Saccharomyces cerevisiae S288C: one gene and its partner. The protein of the gene in region 2 interacts with the protein of the main gene of each other region in a pairwise test. Each region holds a gene or a part of one and is shown on either strand. Other genes may lie near its edges. The genes, in order: MYO1 and MLC2.

What was found.
Region 1: the proteins of MLC2 (region 2) and MYO1 interact in binary tests that used the Saccharomyces cerevisiae proteins (3 or more experiments, as listed by UniProt).

Annotation. Positions count from the first base shown.
Region 1 is NC_001140.6:149,963-157,665, reverse strand, and holds MYO1 (myosin 1), read right to left. Parts: upstream 6,001-7,703; coding exon 214-6,000; downstream 1-213. Other genes in the region: YHR022C-A (uncharacterized protein), read left to right, coding at 6,360-6,449; YHR022C (uncharacterized protein), read left to right, coding at 7,321-7,703. UniProt on the Saccharomyces cerevisiae protein: Required for cell division.
Region 2 is NC_001148.4:910,942-914,285, reverse strand, and holds MLC2 (Mlc2p), read left to right. Parts: upstream 1-1,806; coding exon 1,807-2,298; downstream 2,299-3,344. Other genes in the region: SKI complex subunit tetratricopeptide repeat protein SKI3, read right to left, coding at 1-1,622; DNA-directed RNA polymerase core subunit RPO26, read right to left, coding at 2,486-2,933, 3,010-3,029; PZF1 (Pzf1p), read left to right, coding at 3,264-3,344. UniProt on the Saccharomyces cerevisiae protein: Regulatory light chain for the class II conventional myosin MYO1. May play a role in the disassembly of the MYO1 ring at the bud neck at the end of its contraction during cytokinesis.

The DNA of each region.
Region 1 (7,703 bases), on a different chromosome or scaffold from region 2:
ATTGAATCGGTTATTTTCTTTATTTTATGTACCACCTTTAAGACTACTATCGAAGGATACGGGGTGAAAGAGTTCATGCCACTTAGTATATAACGCTCGTGTCGTCTTTTTCTGTTAATAATGCATATTCTCATTCTGTATATACAAAACATCTCATCATTATTTTTTTAAATAAAGGATATAAAGTCTTCCAAATTTTTAAAAAAAAGTTCGTTAACTGAAAATTTTACTCTGTGCATTGTTACTATCAATATTTTTCGAGCCTATCATGGTAGATTCATAACGGCTTTTCCAGAATTCAATTTCTTGGGCCATTTCCTGCACTTTGTCGCGGTAAGAAGAATTATCTCTAATGGATTTTTTCATCTCAAGCTCTTGTTGAGAAATGTACTTTTCTAAGTCAGAGATTTGAGCCTCATATTTCAAAGTAGCTTCCTCAAATTCGCTTCTATTTTTATTCGCTAGTTCTATTACATCTGTTTGTTGGGAGTTCTTAGTTTGTAACTCTTCCACTGCTCTCTCCAAACTCTTGTTCTTTTTCATTTCTTCATATTTCAAGTCCGTTTCTAGGCTTACCATATTTTCCAATTCATGAATCTTTGATAACCATGCGTTTTTTTCAGTAGTGTCTGATAATCTTTCATGCAAATTTTTTAGTTGAAGCTGTAAGTCGGTGTTGAGCTTTTGTAAAGTTTGATTTTCTTCATATAAATCAATATTCTTCTGCTTCTCATCATCAAACTTATCTTTATATCCATTGCAGCTGGCCTGTAATGTCTTAACCAACTCCCCATTCCTTGAATTTTGTTCCATTTGCAGTTGTAGTGTTTCCTCCAGATATTTGATTTTTTCAGTAATCTCTTTATTCTTTTGTGTGGAACTTGAGAGTGCTGCGTTTGATATCTGTAGCGCATCAGTCTTTTGATTTAAGTCAGATTCCAGTTCCTGCTTGATTTTAGTCAAAGACACTATCTTTCCTTTAAGAGACTCGCATTCAGTATTGAGTGCCTCGTATTTCTGATAAAGTTCTTTTTCTGCAAGAGAAATAGCATCTTTTTCGTTGTTCAACATTTCCACCACTTTTGTATAATGATCGAGCTGCTTCAGCAGATCGGAGATTTTTGCTTCAGAATCATTAGTCGAAGTTTCCAGTTTGTACTTAAGGGTTGCAAATTCTTTTTTTAAGTTTGTTTCAGCTTTTAAAGAGCAGTTCAATTCTTCCTTTAATCTATTAATCTCATCCGTATATTGGGATCTATCTTCTACAGCGCTCAATCGCTCCTTTAAATGGGCCAAATCATCACTCAGGATTTTCTTTACATCTTGGACTCTCTTCAACTCCAGCAGAGTTTCCTGTAATTGCATATCTGAGTCATTTCTTTCCATTTCGCGCTCCCAGATTAACTTTTCCTTTTGCTTATTTTGAGTTTTCAATTTTTCAATGATAGACGCCATATTCTTTACGTCCTCTTCAGCTTGTTTTAGTGCATGAATATGTTCTCTTAGCCGCAGTTCATTCCCTTGCAGATCGTCCATGCAGTTTTCAAATTGCTGTTTCTGCTGTTTTATTGTGGATGATAGTAGTTCTTTTTGGCGTTCCGTAGATTCAAGGTCTTTCTGTAATCTGTCTAATTGTTCACTAAGTAGGGCTTCTTTGGATTTTGATTGCCTCAAGTCAAGAGTGAGTTGGCTCAATTTTCCATTTGATTCATTTAATATTTCTTGGAGCTTGTAGTTTTCAAGTTTATAATAGCGAATTTCTTCTTCATATTTTGAAATGCTATCACGGTTCTTTATAATATCTCCGACAGGTAAATTTGTTCGATCACGTAAAGGCATGGTTTTTAGCTTGTCTTCCAAGGATTTGACTCTTTCTTCACTGGCTTCGAACTTCAGTTTGTAAATATCAGAAGATGACAGGGAGCTTTCCCCTTGGATCTTTCTAAATTTACTGTGTAAAGCAGATATGGCATTTTCTGCATCGTAGTGAGCTCTTGTTTCGATATCCAATTGTCTTTTTAAATAATCGACCTCAAGCATTAATTTGTTAATATCAGACTCTTTGTCAGGGCAGTTATCTAGCGGCTCATTTAGAATACTGTCCAAAGGAATACTAGGGTCCATATCCTGGATCAATTTTTTTAATTTCTTCATTTGTGCCTTAATCTTTTGGTCCTCAAAAGACGAAGATGCTAGTCTTGTTTCAGTGAATCTCAATCTAGAAATTAAGTTCTTCTTCTCTTCAATTTCATTCTCTAGATTCCTAGTTATTTCAGTAAACGCTAATTGAAGGTCATAGTATTTTTTTATTATATCTTCTTTGTCAAGTGGATCATCTGAATACGATGTGGAACGTCTAGTAGACGAAATATTCGTTTCTACAGAATTTCCTGATATTCTTTTGTTTAAGTATTGATTTAAGGATATTTCCTGTGACAACCGAGCTTCCAATTCTTTAATTTTACTATCGTTCAGAGACTCAACCAGGCTATTTCTTTTCTTTTGCTCCTGTTCCTTCGTTTCTCTTTGGAAGTTGGAATATTCTTCTTTAATCTTTTGATAGTTAGATTTATACTCGGTAAGTTGGATTCTTGTCTCTTTTAGTTCAGCAGTAATTTTACCATGTTCGCTAACTGCGTCATCTCTTTGCTTGGAAAAAGTAGCAAGCTCTTTTTTGTGATTATCTATTTTTTCTTTCATCTTTAACAGTTCACTTTCCTTATTTTTCAACTGGTTATTCAGTGCTGCCTTTTCTTTCTTGAAATTCTCATTTTTCGAACGCAAATCTGAATTTTCTGTTACAAGGGATTGTAGTCTTGACATCGCAATGTTACAATTTTTCTCTAAAGTGACCAATTTTATGTCAAGATCTTCTTCTGAGGAACTTAACTTATCGTTGAACGATTTTATTTCTTCCTCCTTCGAGTTTATGACATCTTTTAATCTCTTTATTTCGTTTTCTAGCTTCAATTTAGATTCTTTGATTAAAGACTGGGAGCTCTGTTCCTTAGAAATGTCACAGTTCAAGTCTGATATTTGCTTTATTAGTTCGTTATTTTTTGAGTGTAATTTCTCTAAGGTCGCCTCCCGTTCTCTAATAGTTTCTTGAAGGCCTTGGATTTTTTGATGAGCTTCTTCAAGATTTTGCGCAACTTCTAGTTTTTCCCTGCTAATTTCATCCTTTTCAGAAACAAGGTCATCGAATTGTTTTTGTAATGTTTCTGAGCTGGTTTTAACTCTATTTAATAAGCTCTCATTTTTTCTTAAATTCTCTTTCTCCTGATTTAGCAAGTCCTGCGTATTTTCCAACTCATTGACAGTTTTTTGGTTCTTTTCTTCCAAAAACTTCTTCTTAGATTCCATTTCTTGAAGGTCGTTCTTCAGTTTATTAATTTGCTCGTTGAATTTTTTGGTTCTGGTCATGTCATTGGATGATGTTAAAAGTGGCTTGATCCTGATAAATAAATTAAACCAAGGATCTTCCTTCACCAGTCTATTGTATAATCTGAAGGTATTACCAATCACCCTTGTTTTCTTTAATTTTTGTAGATGGTACGTTATTTCTTTTCTTACTGTGTAACCTCGTATAGTTGCTGTTAGTTTAATCATAATATTATTCAGCTTAACATCTTTTTGTTTTTCCAAATCTGCCAATACTCCAGCTTTGAAAAACAGTTTAGTATTACCAATTTTATAAACTTTTGTATCCAGTTGCAAAGACGTTAGAAGAAACTCACAGTTTTGTTTGGTACTGGCTTTTAATTTAGAACTGAAAGTCGTGGTGGTTGAATTTTCAGGATACAAGATCCTATACCGCTGGAAAAATTCTTGGAATGCTATCCTATTTGGGTAACCTTCTCTGGCAAGTCTAATACCCTCTAGCACACCATTACAACGTAATTGATCTAAGATTAACCTTCTGTTAAATGTTTTCACTTTTTTCACGTTGTTTGGAATTATACAACGAACAAAATGTGGGTGGGTAGAAGCTAGTTGATTTAGTAATGTTATCTGCTGTTCTCTATGGCGTGATGATGTAGTCTTGAAGGTACTTGTCCTAGCTGATTTCTTAACTTCTTGGTTGGAGATGTTGGCTTCCACACCAGCACTAGAAGATTTTTCGCCCTCTGGCTGGAACAGTTTTGAAATGATATCGTTTTGTGAAGAAGACAACAAAGACAAGAGATTATCGTTTAAAGGATCTTTGTTTTTGGATAACCAGCCTTCCACAGTGTATTCCACATCCCCAGCATAGTGTTTCAAAATGAACCCATTTTTTAATCTTGAACGTTTAAACTTTGAAGAGTTTTGGTCCCAAGTTGAGATCAGTTTAGAGTAGAATGACTCATCAGTGGATTTGGGCAAAACGGCTTCCTCATCCAACAACGGTAGTACACCGGTCGGTGGCCCCTTGCTTTCGATCAAATCAATCGTCAGTTGCAAATCTTTTCCGTAATCTATATAATCCCATTGAATGTTTTCCTTTAAATATTCGCTCTGTTCTAAAACAAACATATGGTTATTAAAGAACTGCTGTAATTTTTCATTTGTATAGTTGATGCATAATTGTTCAAAGGAATTATTTTCGAATATTTCAAAACCAGCAATATCCAACAATCCAATGTAATTCAAAGTTGCACTCCCATGGTCCAAGTTTTTATTAATCATATCCACAATATATCCGAACAACCGCTCATAAAGATTTCTTGATAAGGCATTCAAGATGAACTTAGCTTGTTGAGAGTTTTTGGACTGTGAAACCCACTCTTTTCCGGCTTTTGATCTAGGCCTTAATATGGCAGTTTGGAAATCTTTTTCGTCCACGCCTAAATTGCTACAAATTGCGCTAACATCATTTTTGAAAGATGCTTGTTCTGCTCTGTCTGATACGAACTCAATGTTACCGATTAATAAAATAATTGCCACTACTTGAAATATCCATCTTATTTGATCTTTTGAAAACCCAATAATATTCAATGCCGAGAGCAGTTCTTTAAAATTCTCTACGTCGTTGATTCCTGGTATAATATCCTGGTTAGAATTGGATAAAATTTTGTAATCTTTTACGTTCCTAGATTTAAGGCGTAGATTTTTCAACTCAGAATCGTCTAAACCGGATAATAGTTGGTAAAATATATGATAATTTCTTTCTTTCGAATTTTGATGAACAATTCTTGATTTCTCTAAAAGGTACCACTCGATATGCGCACCATTGATCATACCATGTTCATTAAATTCTATCTTTATGAATTTACCGAATCTTGAAGAGTTGTTATTTCGTACAGTCTGTGCATTACCAAAAGACTCTAAGATAGGGTTACTTTGTAGAATTTTCATTTCGAAGCTTTCTACAATAGAACTACCACTAACAGGAGCTATATTGGAAGGAGAGCCAGAAGTTATAGATGCTAGATATTGTAGAATCTTTTTCGTATTTTCTGTCTTGCCCGCACCGGATTCACCAGTGACTAAAATAGATTGATCTTTTCCTTCAGATAAAAGATTCTCATAGGCTTCTTCTGCAATTGCAAATATATGCGGCGGCAGTTTTTCATGGGAGTTTTCATCCAATCTGCTCTTTGATAACCTGTTATGCTTGTTGTGGTACAAGTTTATATGGTCTTCAGAATATAAATTCAAATTGTGATAAGGGTTAATCGCCACTAAAAATAAGCCGGAATAGGTGTATATTAGATCACAATCGTACCTCTTTTCTAGGTTATAAAGCACAGACGGCTCATTCAAATGGGTTAACTCAGACATATTCTCTACTTTGTCAAAAGTCGATGGGTTAACTGGAAATACATCGGATATTCGTACCTGCACTAGATTAGAAACCTCTGTGGAATCCAACGGGTGGACAATTCCTATTTGTTCTTCTTGGCCTGTAAATTTATTCTTGTTGATATCGGTACTCATCAGCTCCCCTTTTACGAAAACTTCTTTCTCATCTGGTATCCAGACGATCATATTAGAACTGCAAGACTGCCCGCCGGTCATTATTGCTGTTGTTGTCCTGTCTAACTTTGTTATGATCTTCTAACCACGAAGTTCGCAGGATTCGAGATGTAATCAAGAAAAAAAAAGTAGTGTGGAAGAGTATGAATAAAGTAGCTGGTCATAAACAATGAACAATCAAAACAAATACACCAAGAAATTACAAATGTTTACGCAATTACCCTTTTGGGCTAAATGATGAAATCTCGAAATATTCCAAATTCCAAGGAGGGTAAGAAAAGCTATCTCAGCATTACCCTGTGAATATTTTTCCGATTTTTTTTTCACACCAAAAAAAAAGTAATGCTATACAATGACACATTTATGTAAAGGCTTTAACCCGGAAGAGAAAAGGGATATGTATGAAAATCAAATTCTCAAGAGGGGCTCGATTTTCAGCGACCTTTTCTTTTGATAAGTACCCTTTCTTGCTATACGAGGTGGTCCGATAATATGCCCCTCCTTTATCTTTTTGTTTAGCCTTTTGACTTCGTTTCACAATAGCATAAAACCATCCATGTAAAGGTATAAGGCAAGGTTTGCCTTCCACGTTGAAGTACTAAAAATAAATTTTACTTTTGACGGAACAATGAATGCTGCAAATATTCCATTGCGTGATTTGAAAAGCTACAATATTTGAAAAGGCAATGTGTCGCTTTATGAGTTAAAAGTGCCCTAGCTTGAGAAGGAGGTGATGCGTTACTAATGCTGTAACAAAGAAAATTTTGCGGACGGTTCTAATCAATCTTCCTGCGTCATGTCAGTGCGCTTTGTATGTCCTGCAGCAGTATTCGGGTAAGATCTTGACGGAGGAAAAAAAATGCTTTAATACGTAATGGTGCAACGATCTTCAAAAGGGATACTCAAGCGTAATATCCCTTTGTAAAAGCTACGTCCATTTTAGAGGAGATATAGGGATTAAGATTAACGCTTTGTTTAAAAGCCATGACCTTGATTATTAAACGCTATTTTTGTCGTCTAAACAATTTTTTTTTTTTGCACTTCTGATAAGTACAACTTGTAGAAGTTGTTTTTCATAAGAACATCAAGGGCAAAAAAAAATGTCGTAGAGATCGTCTATGCTTGCCTTCTTTGAAAAATCCTTTTCAAGTACTTACCTTAACGATCTTGGCTCGTTACTTATTATTTAATTTCAAAAAAATCTAAGAAATTTTCAAAGGAATATATACAGGGAGAATGTATATAAAGAAACGCTGAGCATGTAAATTGTATCTAGAGAAATTGTTAAGGTTCTGCTCTGTGTTGGCTATCCTATTTTTTTGTCTTTTTTTCTTTTAATTATACCGTATTAGGTCAAACGCTATGAGTGTTCGCTTATCATACGGCGCAAGCCTTGCGTCAATCCCAAGATGTTTCGACTTGAAATCTTCGAAGATTACTGTAATGGGGGATGATCATTCTGGAAAAACTTCTCTGGTTCGCAGTTGGCTAGGTAGTTCATTTCAAATATCAGATGCTAATCGTTATAGGGTTTCGGACCTCTACCACAAGACAATCCAATTTGATACTTTGGTAAAATACTATCGTACCTTTGGCGTAAAAGGACAGTTGCCGAATTATGCGGGTTTCAAAGCTAAAAACTCTGGCACAATTTATGAAAGTTGTGGCAATTTCCTAGAAGAGCGCCTGATCAATGCCAATAAATCGACTGCTCAAAGACGCACCAGTATTGATGTTCAAGTTTT
Region 2 (3,344 bases):
TTATTAGGCGATTGTTCATGCACCTGTGTTAGTAATGTCATAGCATCCTTCCAATTTTTCCTTTCAATAAAAATTATACCTTTGCCCATTTTTGCTTGTATATTACTAAAATCACCGGATAAAATGTTATCATATAACTTTAATGCAGCATTGTGGTCCTTTGGGGCATCGACATATGTATAAACGGTAGCCAAATCCAGAGAAAATTCTCTTTTTGTTAATGGCAAATGTACCCCCAGGTCCTTTATATTATAGGCAATTAAAGAAATACCATTTTTGATGTATGGTAAAGCTGCCTCATACTCCTTGGTCAGTAGGTAATATTGACAAAGAATGCGATGCGCTAAGATATTATTTTTACATTTTACGATATTCTCCGTCAATACAGTGACAACCTCTTCCTCTAATAAACCAATTTCTATATCATCAAGGTCTTCTTCTTCATCTTCCTTTGCCTCCTCATCTTGATCTTTGACTTCATCTTCAACACGATCTTTAACTTCATCTTCAACGCGATCTTTAACTTCATCTTCATTTGTCTCATCTACATCCTTAATATCTGTTTCCTTCTCCGTCTTTTTATGGCCTTCAGGTGGTTTATTAGCCGATTCCAAACTTTTAATATCATATTTCGATAGTTTTGAGGAAAGCCAGGAATAGAGGATCATGGCCAATGGATCTTTAGGAAATTTCTTAAAGTACTTTATTATCAATGGGGCATCCATGTTGTCCAGATCTTCGTAATCTGTCCATTCGAAATACTTTTGCCATGCAAGCAAAGATTGATGATTCACAAGAACCATATCCTCGACCATTTCCTTAACTTTCGTGAAAAAATCTTTTTTTACATCCAGCGGCATTGATTTTAGCACTTTGATTCTATATTCTAACCACTGGTTCTCAATTTCACTTCTCTTTTGATCGTCAGCGAGAATATTTACCAACTGGTTGTATAACTGATCAATTTCTGAATTTTTAATTATTTCCCAGGAGAATGAATTTAGTTTAATTTGATAATCAGGATCACTAGCTTTTAGTTTTAACCTGTTCTGACTAAGGGTCTTACCTATTTCCGTTGTTTCAATATTAGACAGTATCTTTATAAGATTTAATAAAGCGTCCTGGGGTGTAGATAGATGACGACCAATAGTTTCCGCCATTAGCGACCCAGGTTTCAAATGCTGATAAAAGGCTTTTTGACAATCTGGATGCGTTTTCTTTAGTAATTTTATGTCATTTATTAGTTCTACTTGAGACTGTTCCTGCTTTAAAAGTGCGTCTGCATATTGGCCACACAGGTCAAAATATTCATCATACGAAAGTATGTCTGGGACAACCTCAGTGGTTCTAAATAAGAGAAAAAGTCCTTTCCACGCTAAAAGGTTATCAGGAACTAATTTGGCAGCGGACACGTAATGATTAGTAGCTCTCTCCAGGTTCCGATTTGAACTGACATTATTACTAGCTGGAAGACTCGAAAGTGCTTTCCCTAGAAAAATATGTGCGAAATAATTATCGGGATCTAGTTTAAGAACCTTTTCCGATATTTCGATGGTCTCTTCATAGTCACGATTTGTCAATTCTTGTTTGGCTTCCTTCAATAGCTGTTTAATATCCGACATATTTCCTCTGCTCTTCGTGTTTCTTTTCTGTGTTCTTAGTGTCTTTCTTGACAAGAAAGTTTTATTAGTTAGTTGTTTTCCAACTTTATTTTTTTTTTTACATTTCTCGTATTTCTAAACTATACAATGCACAGCTAAGAAAAGAGTAATTTCGAATCGTTTATTGAGCAAACTTGAAGTAGATATGGACCATAGTGAATCGCTAACGTTTAACCAACTTACGCAGGACTACATAAATAAACTCAAAGATGCTTTCCAAATGCTGGATGAGGATGAGGATGGTCTGATTAGTAGGGGAGATCTTACCAAGATATATGCAACATTGGGGAAGACATTGACAGATGAGGAATGGTCCAAAATGGTACCTGACAATGACACCAGTACCGCGGAAGTTGGAGAAGAAGGTGTAAGCTTTCCCATATTCTTATCTATCATGGGGAAGAACTTATCGCAGTTTCCCGAGCGTGAAGAATTGGAAGAAAGTTTAAAAGCCATTGGAAGAGGACACGATTTAAACGTTCCCTTGAATGAGGTCATTGATTCTTTAAAGGAAGCCGGTTTTGAAAATCCTGAGGAAGAATTTGCTAAACTTTTCAAATTGTTTACTACAAATCAGCAAGCGACCGAAGAGAGAACTTTCAGAGGTAAGCTTTTCTTAGATTCAATCACCGATTAAATATTCTATATACACATATCAAAGAAAGCAGTCAGCAGCTTTTTTATTCATACAAACATTTTTATTACCAAATAGGTTATAGCGTGGTTCTCTCGTCCAGTTATTTGCATTACAAAATAAATCGTTCTTTATAGTTATAATAATATACAAACAAAGCAAATACACATAAAGGAAAATGCAGGTGTAATCACAAATCCACAATGAGTTCCTCCACACTCCAGTCCTCAAAGGAACCATCTGGTAAATATCTTCTAATAACCAAAGGAATTTTCTTTTCAGCCAACTCCTTCATGGCAATACGCAATGGATCAGTTTCACCTTCTAAATCTACAAAAACTGGCGCATTCATGGAAATTTGTAGGGCTCTTGTACCTAAAATTCTTGCCCTTTCATATTTGGTCATGTATGGAGTAGTTGCTCTTTGGTCTTTTGGGATGGCCTTTTCCTTAAGTGTCTTTCTTCTTATTTGCTCATGCTGTTGAAAATCTTCTGGGCCATTACCACCAGTAACGATGGTCTTACCGTTGGCATCGGTTGTTTCACCATCCTTGAATTGAGGTTTTTCCTCATAAGTCTCCTCATCAGAAAAATGCTCTACATCAAAATCTTCGAAGTTCTCATTACCGTCGTTAAACCTGTATCACAATGATAGAAGTTAGTAAATATAATTAAAACTAAAGCACGCAATTTCTCCAATATGAATGCACATACGCCTCCTCGTAGTCTGACATGATCACTTGTAGCCTTAATCTTTACACTGTTACCTGCAAAATGTGTCTTTTTAGCCTTTCTTCAAGGTTGTGATTGATGCCTTTGAATGATATTCTTAAAAAAAAAAAAATTTTTTTTTCAATTAAATATCATACTATACGAATAATCAATATACAATGATTATTTATTATAAGAAGAACTAACTATCAAATAAGGGCATTAAGCACAGTAGTAACTGTTGAAATCGCTGTCAAATGGGAGGAGAGGTTCTAAATAATGAAGGAATGCCACTGGCCGAACTTAAACAGGAGACCATTCCCATATCACGATCAGAG